2 linked regions of the Pelodiscus sinensis genome follow. The protein of the gene in region 1 interacts with the protein of each later gene in a pairwise test. Links are inferred from orthologs where the notes say so. Each region holds a gene or a part of one and is shown in the gene's direction. Other genes may lie near its edges. The genes, in order: CIB3 and ENOX2.

Region 1 (8,707 bases):
TACTAATAGTTCAAGAAGAAGGCTAAGCTGTGTACATAAGTTTTAAACAAACAATGAATGATGAAAAAGTACCAGAAAGAAATGTTTATATAGCATTAATAAAATATCCAACTTGGAGAGCAGAGATTTGTACAATTATTTCCTTTAAATAAAAAGCCTACTCAGAATCCAGAACTGGGGAAGAGAAAACATTCATTTAGTCCAGCTAACTTTGGGAATGTCATAATGTTCAGTCAGAGCATCCAAGTGTCTGTTGAAATCCTAAGAGGAAAAAAAAAGTAGGCTATAATACGGACATACCTGACCTTGCTATTTCTTTCACTATGTTTATACTTTGCAATTCCAGATCAAACCAGTAGTACAACTGGTACAGTGATAGAAATGTAGCCGTGTTAGTCTGGTGTAGCTGAAACAAAATACAGGATAGTCCTGTATACAATTGGTACCGTATCTGGTCTGCCAATACCAGATAAAAATGGCCTGACTGGGTCAGCCCAATGGTCAATTTCGCCCAGCATTGTGCTTCAGCAATGGCCAATTTCAAGTGCTTCAGAGGGAACGAACAAATTGCTTGAGAGAAAGGGGCAAGAATCCAGAACTCAGACTCAGGGAAGCGACATATGGCGACGGGAGGGAATAAGCCAACACACACAGCCCCTTACCTCCACTCTCTGTTTATGAGTTTTGGAGGCTTTCTTCAGGATCCTCTCCATTTGCTGAAAATGGAACAGACACAGTGAGACCTTCCTTTGGCAGCCGGGAACATACCACGCGCAGCCCACCCTCCGCGGGGGGGGGGGGGGGCTTTGCCTTGGGGCACCCTAGGAAAGCGCATCTCGGCGACCCCCCGCCCCGCCCCCGCGAGGAGCTGCCCCCCTCCTACTCTTTTCTCCTGCGTCTTCTCATAGGCCAGCTGCGCCGGGGTCCGCTTGTCCAGCGCCCGCTTCTTCTCCTCCTCCTGCTTCTTGCTGCTCACGATCTGCTCGCGGATCTTGCTTTTGTCCTTCGCCTTCTTCTTCCTGGAGCAACACAGAGCGGGCGGGGTGAGGCGTGAGGCGTGAGGCGCCAGGGGCCAGGGGCCGCCCCCGCCGCCCCCGGACCGCCGCCGCCCCCGCCCTCCCGGGCCCCCACCCCCGGACCGCCGCCCCCGGACCGCTCACCGCTTCCCCAGCACCGGGGCCGCCCCGCTACCCTTCAGCCGCAGCTGCCCGCGCTGGACGCTCTCGTACTCCGCCATCGCGCGCCGGCCGCGCTCACAGCGCTTCTGGGTCAGGTCGCGTGGGCGGGGCCTCCTGAGGCGGGGCGGGGCCACAGGCGCGGGTGGGGGCGGGGCTCTAAGCCTCGTGCGCAGCGCACGGTGCGCAGCCCCCCCTCTGCCCCCGCTTCAGGGAGCCGGCCTCGGGCGCCCCCTACAGAGCGCGGGCAGCGTTGTGGGGATCCTGGCCCCGCCCCCATGCGATGAGCCGGGGGGGGGGGGGGTTGTGTTGCTCCCCGGTGGTGCCGGTCCCGGTGCCGTGCGGTGCAGGGGCTGCGCTTCCTTCCCCCGGGGCTCCCCCTCCGCCCCATAGGACTGGAACTAGGGCTGTGTGTGGAGGGGGGTTGCTACAGCCAGCGCCAGCCGGCTCTAGGGTTTTTGCCGCCCCAAGCAAAACATTTTTGGCCGCTTTTTTTGTTGGCTTTTACACGTTTGCACTTTGCAGTGGTTTGGTTTTGTTTTGTTTAAAATTGAAAAAAAAAATGAAAACAGAAAATGTGTAGTTCGTGAATAAAACAATTCCCTACTCGTGTACTTATTTAATTTTAACAAATCACAATTACCAACAATTTGGATAGAAATGTAGCCGTGTGAGTCTGGTGTAACTGAAACAAAATACAGGACTATGTAGCACTTTAAAGACTAATAAACAATTTGGGTGCAACTATACATTGTAATGAACAACATTAGTGTCTTCCGGTGTGCCCAGTTTCTCATGAATTAAAAGAATTTATATGAATTGAATTTTTCTGGTTTTTATACTTCTGTAGCCTCAGGAGCGGCCCTAGACGAGCTGCCAGCAACAGGCGTCCTAGGCGAAACGCGCGATCACCGTGTGATTGGCACCCACACCTCCAAAGCCCTCAATGGCCATTTATCTTGGTGCCCTAGGTGACCGCCTAGGTCGCCAGTATTGACGGGCCGCCACTCCGTAGCCTTTCAATAATTGTGTAAAATCGAAATTTTTTGCAACAGTACTTTCAATTGAAATTAATGCGAGTCCTGACAAACGATTTTGAGTCATGGTGAGCTACAAGCATAATCTCAGATACTGACCAACAACCATGGCACCGGGCTAGTCCACTGCCCCCAGCCCTCCCCTATGTACTCTTGCATGTACAAGAGCAGGGCCCGTTCCTTCTGGTTCAGAATCACTTGTCTTCTCCTGGCCAATGCAGTGCTGTCCCAGCATCAAAATTGTTTAGCAGCTCTGGCTATCCTTAGCCTCATTATGCTTGTCCCTTAGGGCCAGGCAGATATTTCTCAAGCGCCATCCTTCCATTTGGTCTGGACAGTTGTCACGTCTCACTCGTGTTGCAAATCTCACAATCCTTTGGTGTTTCTTAAAGCTCCAGATGCTGGAGTCAGGAAGTAACATTTTAAGTAAGTTTCTAGCCCTGATGGTTGCCTGGAAAAATATAACAGACTCTAATAGGTCAGAAACCAAAGGCAAATAAGAAAAAAATAACTACCCCAAACTGAGTATATTTTTTTCGAAATCTCATGATTTTTGTGGCCTGACTCATGACTGTGGAATGCATAAGTTTGACAATACTTTGAAAGGCACTAATAATATAAAGATGGTGGGACCCTGGTTGGCCGGAGCAGCCCCATAGCACCACGCCGCAGGACCCCAGCTGGCCAGAGCAGCCCCCGCCTGCTGTTTGGACCCTGGTTAACCGGTTAAACCATTAAAATTATATTATTTAACCTCTTAACTTTTTAAAGCAGGTATTTACATCCCTAATCTGCATACAATCTATTTTTGGGCCTGAATACCACCTGTTCTTCTCGAAGCTTTGCATCCATGGCTTCTTTCATCCTGTGTAGTGTCACACTGCAGAAGATTCAGGAACATATAGAAATCAAAGATATAGGGTCCCAGAAAAAAACCCAATAAATTTCAATTCAAATGTAATCTCAGAGCTAACAGACGGCCGTGAGAGCTGGAGATCTTCTCATACATTAGACAGAAAAATAGATGCCTTTGAAAATAAGCACTTTAAAGACTAACAAGATGGTTTATTAGATGATGAGCTTTCGTGGGCCAGACCCACTTCCTCAGATCAAATAGTGGAAGAAAATAGTCACAACCATACATACCAAAGGATACAATTAAAAAAAATGAACACATATGAAAAGGACAAATCAAATTTCAGAACAGAAGGGGGATGTGGAAGGGGGAGGGGAAGGTAAATGTCTGTGAGCTAATGGTATTAGAGGTGATAATTGGAGAGGCTATCTTTGTAATGGGTAAGATAGCTAGAGTCTTTGTTGAGCCCCCCACGTAGAGTGTCGAATTTTAGCATGAATGACAGTTCAGAGGATTCCCTTTCAAGTGCATATTTAAAAGGCTTCTGAAGCAGGATGCAGGTAATTAAGTCGTTGAGACAGTGTCCTTTCTGGTTGAAATGGCAAGAAACTGTTTTTTCTTTGTGATCCTGTCTAATATCTGTTTTGTGGGCATTGATCCTTTGGCGAAGACGTCTCAAAAACCTCTTGCACAAAAAGCATTGGCAGAGATATGCAAATGACAGTGGGACAAATGCTAATGTGCACTTAATTAGCATACTCTCTGCTGGCAAATACCTGCAGTGTAGACCTAGCCCATCACAGGGAGGACACTGGCTGCTGGTTACTTCCAGCAGCAGACAGTGCTGTACGCCTACTTCCAACCTGCCTACTATGGTGATGGAGAACCATTACGCTGCCCTGGCGATGAGGAATTACTTAAGGTGGAGGAACAATAGCCATGTACCCCTATGGCTGTGAAGTTTGCAGCCACCTCACCCAGGGGGAAACTCAGAATTGTGGCAGCAAGGGAGGTTTAGGCTAGACATTAAGAAAAACTTCCTAACTGAGAGTGGTTAAGCACTGGAATAGATTGCCTAGGGAGGTTATGAATTCTTCATCACAGGGGATTTTCAAGAGCAGGTTAGATAAACATCTGTCAGGGCTGGTCTAGCTAATACTTAGTCCAGCTGTGAGTACAGTGGACAGGGATAGATGGTCCCGTCCAGTTCTGTGAGTCTGTGATTTTTGGATCATGTACTGCAAACGCTGACACAGACTCACACGTGAAGGTGTCAAGTGGAAACCAACCGGTATGAGAAATGAGCATGCATCAGAGAAACCTTAGCAGGGAGGGCTGAATAGTCAATCCCCAAACTATGGAGCAGCCCAGGCCATCCCTAACAGGGCATGGGGCTCAGGACAACCCCCCCCCCCCCATCCTCCACCCCAGACCTTGCCCGCATCCACCTCTTCCTGCCCTTTTCTGTCCCTGCCCCATTTGACTCCTTCCCCAAACTTCCACCCCTTCTCCACCTCTGTTCTGCCTCTTCTCACCCTTGCCCTGCCCCCATTCTGCCTCTTCTCGAGTGATGCCAGGAGCAAGTGGAGTGGAGCAGGGACAGTCATGCTGCCATCAGCCCTGGCGTCACCCAAGACCTGTATGTATGTCCCCTGAAGTGCGGGACATCCCGAAGTGTGGGCCCTGGGTGATTGTCCTGAACCATCATATGGATAGCTCTGGAAGCAGCAGCACACGACAGAGAGGAATGATTTCTCCATTAAGTGCCAACGCTGGCATGGGATGGATGTTAAAAAATGAGGAAGAGCTTAAATATAGTATTGCTATACACAGTGAAAAATACAGCACAGTATTAACATATGATGTAGAATGTGTATTACAATGAACATTAAGAAAAGGACTCAGGACCATACCTACTGTGATTCTTTTTTAAGGTGAATTGCTGAATGTTGAAGGAAGAAAGACTTTTTGTATATGTGAATTTAATTGATGGAAGCATAAAACTAAAATCCATACTGTCCCCTATGTAGCACAGAGACAAGGGATAGAAATTGTGTTAGTTGTTTGTGAAATGCTGTAATATGAGTCTCTGCAGAGCACACAGGAAGCAAATGAATGATGCTGTATGAGAGTCTTGTGTATTCAGACTAAAGATTTGATGAAATGCTCCTATTATGATTCTGAAATCTATGGAGCAGGGAAGGTGGTTGGTTACCTGATCCTCCTCTGTCTGAACCTCATTGTTGCAGCTTTTCATATCTCAATATTCAGCCTTCCTGTAAAGGTAACGTAACGGGAAAGAGTTATGGGACAAGAATCAGGATTTAGAGACAGAAATGGGCAATAAGCAAACCATTTTCACTCCAGAGCAGCTGGATGCGTATCAGGTAAGAACAAATAAAAGACAAGTTAGACACAATGCCAGGAAATGGCAGGTTGTTTTAAAGCAGTCTCCAGCACTTAGTTTCATGGTGCTAAACAGGAATATGAAATACTATCTGAAGTCTTTAGAGTAAATGGTTTATGGCTGTTTAATATTCCTTTATCTTCTTTTAAGAGAGAAAAAACTGTCAAACATGACTCTATAGTTGAACAGAAAGTTTATAAAGGTTGGGCCAGCTTTATCCATAATATGAGTCAAGTGAAATTAGTGCACTTGTACAGAAAAGAATTTGGGCTAGTGTTTAAAATAAAAAAGCAAAAATAACTCACCATCACATCTTCTATCTTTCCATATTTTACAGGATTGCACATTCTTTACAAGGAAAGAAATTCTGAGGTGCGTCTATATTTTTTGTCTGTAAAACTATAAGGAGATTATTAAAAAGTAAGGCCACTCATCTAGTAATCTTAGTAATCTTTTTATTAAGTTTTAAATAGGATTTAATATGGCATTATTGCGATAAGTGAAGTAGACACACACACGCACAAAAATCATGTTCAATGTCGTTAGTTAAGCCAAAAATCTATAATTCTATTAACATGCCAGCTACTCCCATGTAAAACACTATAACAAGTTACATCTAATACTCTGCTAGGAGGCCCCATTCCCCTCTACCTGGTTTATAACAAGTGCTACACAGACTATTGCTACCATCTATTTGATTAAATGCTTTCTGACTAGTGTATTATCTTGTTCTATTGTCTTTATATTATAAGTTCAGAAATATTTATGTGCCATGAAAATTTAATTTCTTAAAGGTAACTATAATTTCTTAGATGTATATAAATTTGAGATATAAAAATGTTATTCATGCCTCTATTTACTCTCTTTACAAAGCAGGATTGTTCTAGCTTTTAAATGATTATGCTTTGACCCTGCAGCATGCTGTTTTCCATGATTTACGTTGGCTTCATTTTGTTTGCCCATGAAAACAGAGCTAAAGCTAAAGTAAAAACTTTTTACCTTTGCCTTGACAATCCAGTGCTGTCCACAGAGCAGCTATTGTTTTGTGTCACTTTTTGCATCTGCATTTATGATATTTTCCGGAGACATTTTTACAAGCCCCAAATCCCATGAAACAAGATTAGAGATTAAATTATTTCACAAAAATGATTCCACAGTAAACATGGCCGGATCAAAGTAGCCTAAAAACTTTAGCTGAGACAACATGATGCTGCCCACTAGCTTTATGTGTAAAAAGCTGTGGTGATATTTTGAAGCCTGGTGCCTCATTAGAGCACAAGGCCTAAGTTAGCCTGAATCACTCATTTCCAGAAATTTTGGAACCTCTTCCAAGTAAATAGTACATCTAGGCCAAGCCATTGACCATTAGTCATCTAGCCACAAGAGGCTGAAGAGGAAAGGCTTAGTGCAGAGGTGGGGAACCTACAGACTGTGAGGCAGATCTGGGTCCTGCATTGCTTTGATCCAGCCCATGGTGAGGCTTGGGGCTTCCCCCCCAGCAAGGCAAGCCAGTGCTCATGCTCCAGCCCCATGGCAAATCTCCAAGCTTTGGTGCCCCCCTGCAAGGCTGAAGCATGAGCGAAGCCCCGGCATCCAGAGTTGAGTGTGTGGGAAGTTTTTTTTTTTTTTTGCTTCTCACTTGAGTGTGATTCACAACTGATTTTTCTGTGGGTCAGTGGCCACTGACCAAAAAAGGTTCCCCACCCCTGGCTTAGAGATTTGTAACACACTGGCTGAGGGATCAAGAGTCCTAACTGGCAACTGGAACCTGGTCTCCCAGTGCATCACCGAGTGAACTTTGGCAGGCGTTGGCACTCCTGTGTCTAAACTACATCCCTTTTCTCAAAAAAGGGATGTAAATTAGACACTTCAAAATTGCAAATGAAGCCAGGATTTAAATTTCCCGTGCTTCATTTGCATAAGGGTGGCCATGGGTTTTTTTCGAAATGGGGCTTTTCGAAAGAAAAACAGCTGTTTAGACAGGCATCTATCGAAAATAAAACCCTTTTTCAGAAGATCCTGTATTCCTCTGAGGGTTTTATTTTCGATAGATCCCCGTCTAAACAGCCGTTTTTCTTTCGAAAAGCCCCATTTAGAAAAAAACTGCAACCACCATTATGCAAATTTAAATCCTAGCTTCATTTGCGATTTTGAAGTGTCTAATTTACATCCCTTTTTCGTTTTGTAGTTTAGACACAGCCCATAAGAGTCTGTTCCACCGGACTTGATTGTAGAAGTCAGCTTTTGTTTCCTATTTGTCATGTAGCAAATTAATCAGCAGAAACATTTCCATTTCCTTCCCCTTTCTAAGGCTGATCTTGCACAACATCAGTGTGCCAAATCTTTTGCTGAGTAGAGTGCAGAGACAATTTCATAAGACGACTGCCCTTCTCCACCAGACCCTGATCTCCTACTCTGCCCATCTTGGTCTCTGTTTATCAGTGCTCCACAGTACAAAATGCAAATGAAATTAATAAATTAAACTAAGCCTGGTTGTGTTTTCATGTATTTAATAGAGGCCAAGACCATAATTATATCACAAATAAGGCATTTATAATTGATAGGAAACCTTTAGAAAATTCTGTCTTCTTGTTTGATACCATTTTCATGGGTGACAGTATGAATGAGCTCCTCAGTCTAATGCGACACTGGAAGTAAATTGCATTGAGAAGAAAAGAAACATATTTAGGGGTCAGTTTATAGCTCTTCCCTTCTCTTCGTTCTGAGTCCCTACAAAATCAGTGGGAGGTTTGGGTGGGCAACAAAAGGCAGGATGGAGCCCCATATTTGAAGGGTAAAACAAACCCATTTTTTAAAAGCTTAAAGATGAGAAAAAAAGGTATCTAAGGAAACAGGGTTGAGGACAATCCCCCCAATGGGTGGACTAGATGGTCCAGGAGGTTCTCTCTATTTCTAGCTCCTGTGGGTTTGCCTGCATGTTTTTGCAGGGGAAAGAGGTACGCTCATTTCAAAGGTAAGGTAGGCTTAAAATACTTTCATTATTGAACCCCCCATTCTTAATTCCCCTGAGATCTTTTGAAGATCACTTATTTTCATCACATTGGTCCCTTCTGTCCTTACAAATCTATGGCTGGCTGTGTCTACACTGGGCCACTTATTCCGGAAAATCAGCCACTTTTCTGGAATAAGCTGCGAGCTGTCTACACTGGCCCTTGAATTTCCGGAAAAGCAACGACACTCTACTGTACAAAATCAGCCGCTATTCCAGAAA
Region 2 (7,553 bases), on another chromosome or scaffold:
TAGGAGCCTTGGTTTGCTTAGTGCTCACTGTGTTAATGGCTTTAGTTAAGTGGTGAGATCTCATTTAGCCTGTCCTGTCGCCGGAGTAAACACCCTGAGAAAACTCATTTTTCTTTAAAAAAAAAATTACATTGAAAATCTTTAAAACCAGTTTTTAGTTAAAAGCTAAAAGTTAACTTAGTTTTCAAAAGTTATGAAAATGGACTTGCAACAAAACCCATTTGGGTCCTTTGTTCCACATTTAATTGGGTTGTGTTGCCCTGACAAACTGAGGGGGGGGTCACTTCTGCCCCCCTTTCTTCTCTTATCAAGCTCAACTGAGGAAGTAGGTTTTGCCCATGAAAGCTCATATCGTGTGTGTGTGTGTGTGTGTGTGTGTGTAAGGTTCCACAGGACTACTCATTTTTATAGTTAGACTAACACAGCTCCCTCTGAGACTTTCTTCCCATCTGCTACTCTTTTTACAGCACCCTGGATAGCTCCTTGGAGTAGGATTTAGCAGCTTCAGTGGACACTGATAAGGTTCTTCCAGCCTATAATAAGCCTCAATATAGGCTCGGAAGAATTTGTTTCATCTTAACTATTTCCACCGTCATTTGTCTCCATCAGCACTCAAGTCTCTGCACTTCTCTCTTTTACAGCCCTAGGTACCAGAAAACCAAGGGGATCTGTGTGGGCTTTGGGAAATTTAGGATTGTTTGGAGGCTGACAGTGAGCAAGACCGGTGTAGAATGGTAATTATTCATTTACTGCTTGATCTGTCCTTGCGTGCTGCCGCCCTTTAGCAGGGTTTGAAATTTGGAGAAGTCAATGAGCCTTCCTGGTAGAATGAGGAATGTTGGCCTTTTGTTTCCTTGGGGGCTGACAAGTCTGACTGCCTCAGAACTGAGCACTGGACACCCTGAATGTACTGATGGCCAGGGCAGACATTGGTTGATGGTTGCAAAGCAGTTCCAGACTATTTGAGAAAGAAAGCATGCAAAATGCACATAGCCCTATTCAGTGAAACCGAACAATAGTTTTTCAAAGCATTTGTTGGACTGAAAAGGTTATGTACAATTGTAGCATAGCTTGGATTCTCAAATTAAAAATAGAAATTAGTCTGTTTGGATACAGAGGCAACAAGGGGGAGGCTTATTGGTTAATTGTGTCATTGACTACACGCTGACATCCCTAGTTGTGACATGTTAATTACCACAAGAGGGCACCCATGTTCTGGACAAATGTCTTCATTTGGTGAATCTCTTGGTGATTTGGCAAGGGTGAATATACATTTTGGAAATCATTTTTTGATGGTGTGTGGCTCAATCTCATTCCATGCTTGATGAAACCAGTATATTGCATCCAAGCATAAAATCCTTTTCAAAAGCATTGGAGCCAGTGAAGTTACATGAGATTCTATTTGATGAAGAATACATTGAATTTGTCTTTTCTGAAATTGCCATTGCACAGCTTGAAGGTTTCCAGGTGTCTGGCTTTTGACCAGAAATTCCTGTCAAAAAGGAGACCTTTGACAGGGTCTGGTCAAGTGTATTGACTGGACACCAAAAGTCTGGTTAGTGAGGATGGGGAGGAGGCACTGGAGAACCTGCAGCAGCAGCCCCTGCTGAGGAAAGGCTGCCTACTGTCAGTATCTTGTGGGCAGAGGTAGATGGCACAGTGTCATGCTGCTATTCCTCTACCAGCCCCGGACCAGAGGGAGCCCAGTTGCATATGGGAGAGAGATGAAGAGACTTTAAGGAAGAGTGGGAGGAATGGGGGCTTGGAGGGAAGAGGTGGGTTAGAGGCTCTGGTTTTCAGAAAGCTGGCAACCCTGGTCCTGTGAAGCAGAGTTTAATGTTTGTTTGCAAAGGAGGAGGCATGGGGCATTATCCACAAACAGAATCTTATATTCCTGTGGTAGTGATCTGTGCTCAAATCTTGGTAGCCATTTTTCAAAATGTTCTGAATTCATCCATGCTTTTTTATTTAATTCATATTCCACAGGCAACTCCTTGGTAGTCAACTTGCCAAAGCAGGGTGGGTGTTGGGATTTAGCGACCAGTACGGACTTTTCTTTATCTCCATCCATGCAGTGGGACTGCTCCATGGCTCAACACTTTTGAAATAAAAAACCATTTAATATTTTTCAAATGTCGTGGAAACACTTTATTTTGACACTCACCAGTAACTGTCACATGAAACCAATTTTGCAATGCAAGGTTAGAACCCTGAAAGAGGGTGTTCTAACTACAGCTTGTTGGAATTACAGCTGCAGAGGGGCTGCATTTTGCCTCCTCCTAATCAAGGAGTATTGGATTAAAATGTAACAATGTAATTGTGAAAGCAGGCTCTTTGCTGGCCAGGCCTCTCCTGCGTATTGCCATCAGAGCAAAAGGTCAACTTCCTCTTGATGAAAAACCCTTACATTATGTAACTTAAACACCAGTGAAGAACAGGAACCAAAACCAGACCTAAAAAGTTCATGTAAAGTTCGTGCTGGTTGTGCTGACTGTGCCATGCCCGATAAGGCAGAAAAGGAAAAACAGGAAACCATCTCACCCTCTTACTCCTGTCACTTAACAGACAGGGTCTGCTAGCCTATCACAAAAAGCACGCAAAAGCTTTCTCTATAAAACAGCTTCCCCTCCTGTATCAAATTGAGGAATCCCGAATAAACATTGGATGGTAGAATATGAGCCAGGTCCGAGGACTGATCACCCGAGGGCCACCTCCTGCTCACCGAACCAAATGAGTTCCTGTAGAGTGTAATGTATACCAAACATAACGTATACCAAATATGTTGTTGTTGTTGTTGTAGTTTGTGTGTCTGTTAAATGTAAGTATTGTTATCTGAAATTGTTTAGAGGTATGGTTAAGTAGTAGTGTTAAGAGTTTTAGATAAATGATTAGTCTGATAAGTAAGACTGATGTAAATGTAACTGTTAATAATCCCTGGTCCCTTGTTAACAACTATTGGGATTTAGAGAAACCTCAAGGAATTTTCTTTACTGTATTGCATTGTGCTTATTAGTCATTCTAATAATTGATAAAATAATTTATATGCAGAAGTGCCTTAATAAAAGTTTAAAAGATATTTAGTAAGAGTTTGCCTGTTTCTGCGCCTCCCTGGGACTAGCCGCATTCCCGAGCCTTTGACTTTATTCCACAGTAAGGAGGAGGCGTAAGATGCCCACAGAGCTGGGCAGCGAGAGGGTGCTGGCCAGGCGCCCAGCTCTGAAGGCAGCTCAGGGCCAGGGGCAATGTCGGACCCCGGCGCGGGGGGGGGGGGGGCAGTGCCGGACCCCGGCGCGGGCGGGGGGGGGGGGGCAGTGCCGGACCCCGGCGCGGGGGGGGGGGGGGCAGTGCCGGACCCCAGCGCGGGGGGGGGGGGGCAGTGCCGGACCCCGGCGCGGGGGGGGGGGGGGGCAGTGCCGGACCCCGGCGCGGGGGGGGGGGGGGCAGTGCCGGACCCCAGCGCGGGCGGGGGGGGGGCAGTGCCGGACCCCGGCGCGGGCGGGGGGGGGCAGTGCCGGACCCCGGCGCGGGGGGGGGGGGGCAGTGCCGGACCCCGGCGCGGGGGGGGGGGGGCAGTGCCGGACCCCGGCGCGGGGGGGGGGGGGCAGTGCCGGACCCCGGCGCGGGGGGGGGCACTGCCGGACCCCGGCGCGGGGGGGGGGGGCAGTGCCGGACCCCGGCGCGGGGGGGGGGGCACTGCCGGACCCCGGCGCGGGGGGGGGAGGCCCGCGTGCCGAGGGGCCGAGCGCTGCGGGGCGGCGGGTTCCGATGTCGGCAGCTAAATCTCGACACTTACCGTTGTGACGCCCCGGGCCTGCGACACGGACCGAGCGCCCCGCCGTGACTGGGGCTGCGGCCCCGCCTGGCGAGCCCTGAGGCGGGGCGCTTAACACCCCTCCCCTCCAGTGCGCTGCCTCCCTGTGTCAGGCCCGGGCGCGCGCCGCAGAGCCTGGCTGCCATGGCAACCCGCCCCGAGCTGGCCTGAGGCGGCGCCAGTCCCGCTCCCGACGCCCCGCGCGCCGGTCTACGTCACCCACCAGGCCTCGCGCCCTAACGGCCAATCAGAGCACGCGTCCAGCGGCTAGGCAACGGCCGTACCCGGCATGCCTCGGGGCGCGGAGCCGGGCGGCCAATGGGCGGCGCAGGCGAAGGGGGCGGGGCTGTCGCGCGGCGCTGGGCCCGGGCTGAGGGGCGGACGAGCGGCGGATGTATAAGGAGTACCGGGGCGGCGCGGCCCGGCGGCCGGCAGGTGAGGACCCCGGGGCGGACCCCTGCTGCTGGCCAATGGACAGTGACCTCCCTCCGCGTGCCCTGGTTCTGGGAGAGCCCCCCCCCCCTGACTCGGGGGCAGTGCCGCGACGTGGGGCGCCCCCCCGCCCCCCTGACTCGGGGGCAGTGCCGCGACGGGGGGCGGCCCCCCCCGCCCCCCTGACTCGGGGGCAGTGCCGCGACGTGGGGCGGCCCCCCCCGCCCCCCTGACTCGGGGGCAGTGCCGCGACGTGGGGCGGCCCCCCCCGCCCCCCTGACTCGGGGGCAGTGCCGCGACGTGGGGCTGCCCCCCCCCCGCCCTCCTAACTCGGGGGCAGTGCCGCGACGTGGGGCTGCCCCCCCCCGCCCTCCTAACTCGGGGGCAGTGCCGCGACGTGGGGCTGCCCCCCCCCCCCCGCCCTCCTAACTCGGGGGAGGTGGTGCCGCGACGTGGGGCTGCCCCCCCCCGCCCTCCTAACTCGGGGGAGGTGGTGCCGCGACGTGGGGCTGCCCCCCCCCCCCGCCCCCCTGACTCGGGGGCAGTGCCGCGACGTGGGGCTGCCCCCCCCGCCCCCCTGACTCGGGGGCAGTGCCGCGACGTGGGGCTGCCCCCCCCCCGCCCTCCTGACTCGGGGGCAGTGCCGCGACGTGGGGCTGCCCCCCCCCGCCCCCCTGACTCGGGGGCAGTGCCGCGACGTGGGGCTGCCCCCCCCGCCCCCCTGACTCGGGGGCAGTGCCGCGACGTGGGGCTGCCCCCCCCGCCCCCCTGACTCGGGGGCAGTGCCGCGACGTGGGGCTGCCCCCCCCGCCCCCCTGACTCGGGGGCAGTGCCGCGACGTGGGGCGGCCCCCCCCGCCCCCCTGACTCGGGGGCAGTGCCGTGACGTGGGGCGGCCCCCCCCGCACTCCTAACTCGGGGGCAGTGCCGTGACGTGGGGCTGCCCCCCCCCGCCCTCCTAACTCGGGGGCAGTGCCGCGACGTGGGGCTGCCCCCCCCCGCCCTCCTAACTCGGGGGCAGTGCCGCGACGTGGGGCTGCCCCCCCCCCGCCCTCCTAACTCGGGGGCAGTGCCGCGACGTGGGGCTGCCCCCCCCGCCCTCCTAACTCGGGGGAGGTGGTGCCGCGACGTGGGGCTGCCCCCCCCCCCCGCCCTCCTGACTCGGGGGCAGTGCCGCGACGTGGGGCTGCAGAGGAGCTGAGTTCCGGTGTGTGCTTGGGCGCTCTGCTCAGCCGTATGTACCTGCCTTTCCTTACCCCTGTATCCACAATGTCCAGCAGATCCTCTGTGCACCTCCATAACAGGTGTGCATGTTGGATTTTTCTCTCTCATTTTCAGCCTTGGTTTCACTGCCTTGGCTGCTTCTGTTGGGTCTTGCCCCTGAAAGGCAGTTCGTGTGTCACAGCCCTACATGCCCCTCAGGCTAACCTAGCTTTAAAACTTCTTAGCTTAACCAAATAAACTTCTATAGATTTCTTGGCGCTAGCTTTGCCCTAGAGGTCTCAACTCTCTCAAGATCCCATTCTTGTAGAGAAGATCCATTTTTTATGGGTTCTGTGTCAGTTTATCTCCAGAAATAATGCTTGTGATAAGACATTGCAAGAAGAGTGTAAACATGACACTATTTTAAACTAAACTATTTTGTAACTTTTACATAATTAAGCCGTGCATATTGGTCTCCTTATGGCAAATCTCAATATTTTAGACCAGAAATTAAAATTCTTGGACAGGTGAGAATGAAGTTGTCTTTGGCAATTGTATAATAATGGATAACGTGAAGATGTGGGTATAAGTTGCAAGACTACAAAACAACAGTAGGGAGTCGAAGGACAGTGTAAGGGTTAAGGGGTGAAAAAGCTGTGTAATTATGGGATACTTCAATTTGAGTGACATGCTGAAGGTCAGAACTGTCCTGTATATAGGACTAATTGGAGCAGTTGCCCGAGGTCCTGCACTTTTGGGGGCCCCTCAGTGGCTGCTCCAACTGTCCTATGAGCAAAAAGGACTGGGAGTTATGGGGGCCTTCAGCAGGGGTCGTTTCCCCCTCTGCATTCATCACATGGGTGGCAGGAGCCGGAGCAGCCTGGCAGCCAGCTCTGCCCTGCCAGAGAAACACTGATTCTTTTAAAAAAGATATGGGCAGGATCACAGCATGTAATAGAGATGTTTCAGTCCTAGAGGCAGTACTGACTTGTTTGTATCTGGGTCTAAAGATGTATCTCAGAAGGAGTATCTTTGCCCAGCAGAGAGGGAAATGGTTCTTGTACTCAGTGAATGGTTTGCTTGAAGTCTGCCATGCCAGCTGTCATATTGGGGTCATTAGTGTGCTCAGGTGTTGATAGACATTTAGCTATGTGTGTTCTCTCTGGGCCACCCCAGCTCTGTGCAGACAGCTGGTGGCACAGCAGGCCTCAAGTGAACCACCCAATGATTACAAGATCTGTGAAGAGACAAGGCCTGAAATTATAAAAGGCAGGGTCACCCCAAGATGTTCCTGTCTTTCCTGTGCATCACATTCAGCACACCCAAAGAGACAGAGGAAGCAGCTGTTGGAATCTCTGTAGGTCAGGACTCCTCTCCCAGTTTGGTCAGTAAGACTGCTGAAAGCATGGGGCCAGAGTCTGTTTGAAATCTAACATAGGTTAAATAAGGCAATTAGTATTTTATCTTTATTTTTCTTATAACCATTTTTGACTTATGCTTCATTATTTGTACTCACTTTCTCTTTGTGGTTAATACACTTGTTTTATCTAATCCAGTGTGTTCAGTCTGAAGAGTGGGGGTAACTCCATTGGGGTAACAAGTTGCATACACATTATTTTCTTAAAGGAATAACATTTAAAGTAATGTGTACTGTAATGTGTACTGTCCTGGACTGTGCAGGACATAGATTTCTGGGTAGAAATCTGACTGGGAGCATGTTAGGGTCACTCCATGATGCTCTTTAAGGCTGATAAAAGGTGTGGCTGTCTGCAGAACACACAGAGTTGGCAGTGGCTTACATGCTGGAGGCTGTTTGAGAGCTGTCTGGGTTGGTGGCTACAGCAGCAAAGCATTGCAAAGGGCACCCCAGAATAGAGGGCAGGGGTGGTGACGCAGCTACTTAGTCTGAATTGTACTCTTGTGTGTCACAGTCCTTGTTCTGGTTCAAATGTATCAGAAAATTTCCCTCTGGTGGTGGTGATCAGCTGATGTGAGAAACTGCAACACCTCTCAGGAGCTTTGTGCTCCTCAATCACGCAGAAGGGATTTCATAAACGCCAAATACTATAGGCCTAGAGGTAGAAATGTGAGAGTTGGCTACCCTAGGT

What was found.
Region 2: the proteins of CIB3 (region 1) and ENOX2 interact in binary tests that used the Homo sapiens proteins (3 or more experiments, as listed by UniProt). The two-hybrid records come from large-scale screens. The link is inferred for Pelodiscus sinensis from reciprocal best matches to the Homo sapiens genes CIB3 and ENOX2.

The regions. Positions count from the first base shown.
Region 1 is NC_134729.1:31,361,981-31,370,687, forward strand, and holds the start of CIB3 (calcium and integrin-binding family member 3), read left to right. Parts: upstream 1-5,404; coding exon 5,405-5,455; intron 5,456-5,812; coding exon 5,813-5,847; intron 5,848-8,164; coding exon 8,165-8,170; intron 8,171-8,430; coding exon 8,431-8,454; intron 8,455-8,707. Other genes in the region: protein FAM32A-like, read right to left, coding at 193-261, 663-716, 884-1,019, 1,161-1,237. UniProt on the Homo sapiens protein: Acts a an auxiliary subunit of the sensory mechanoelectrical transduction (MET) channel in hair cells. Plays a role in regulating hair cell MET channel localization and function.
Region 2 is NC_134723.1:2,336,230-2,343,782, forward strand, and holds the start of ENOX2 (ecto-NOX disulfide-thiol exchanger 2), read left to right. Parts: upstream 1-4,093; 5' UTR 4,094-4,203; coding exon 4,204-4,246; intron 4,247-7,553. UniProt on the Homo sapiens protein: May be involved in cell growth. Probably acts as a terminal oxidase of plasma electron transport from cytosolic NAD(P)H via hydroquinones to acceptors at the cell surface.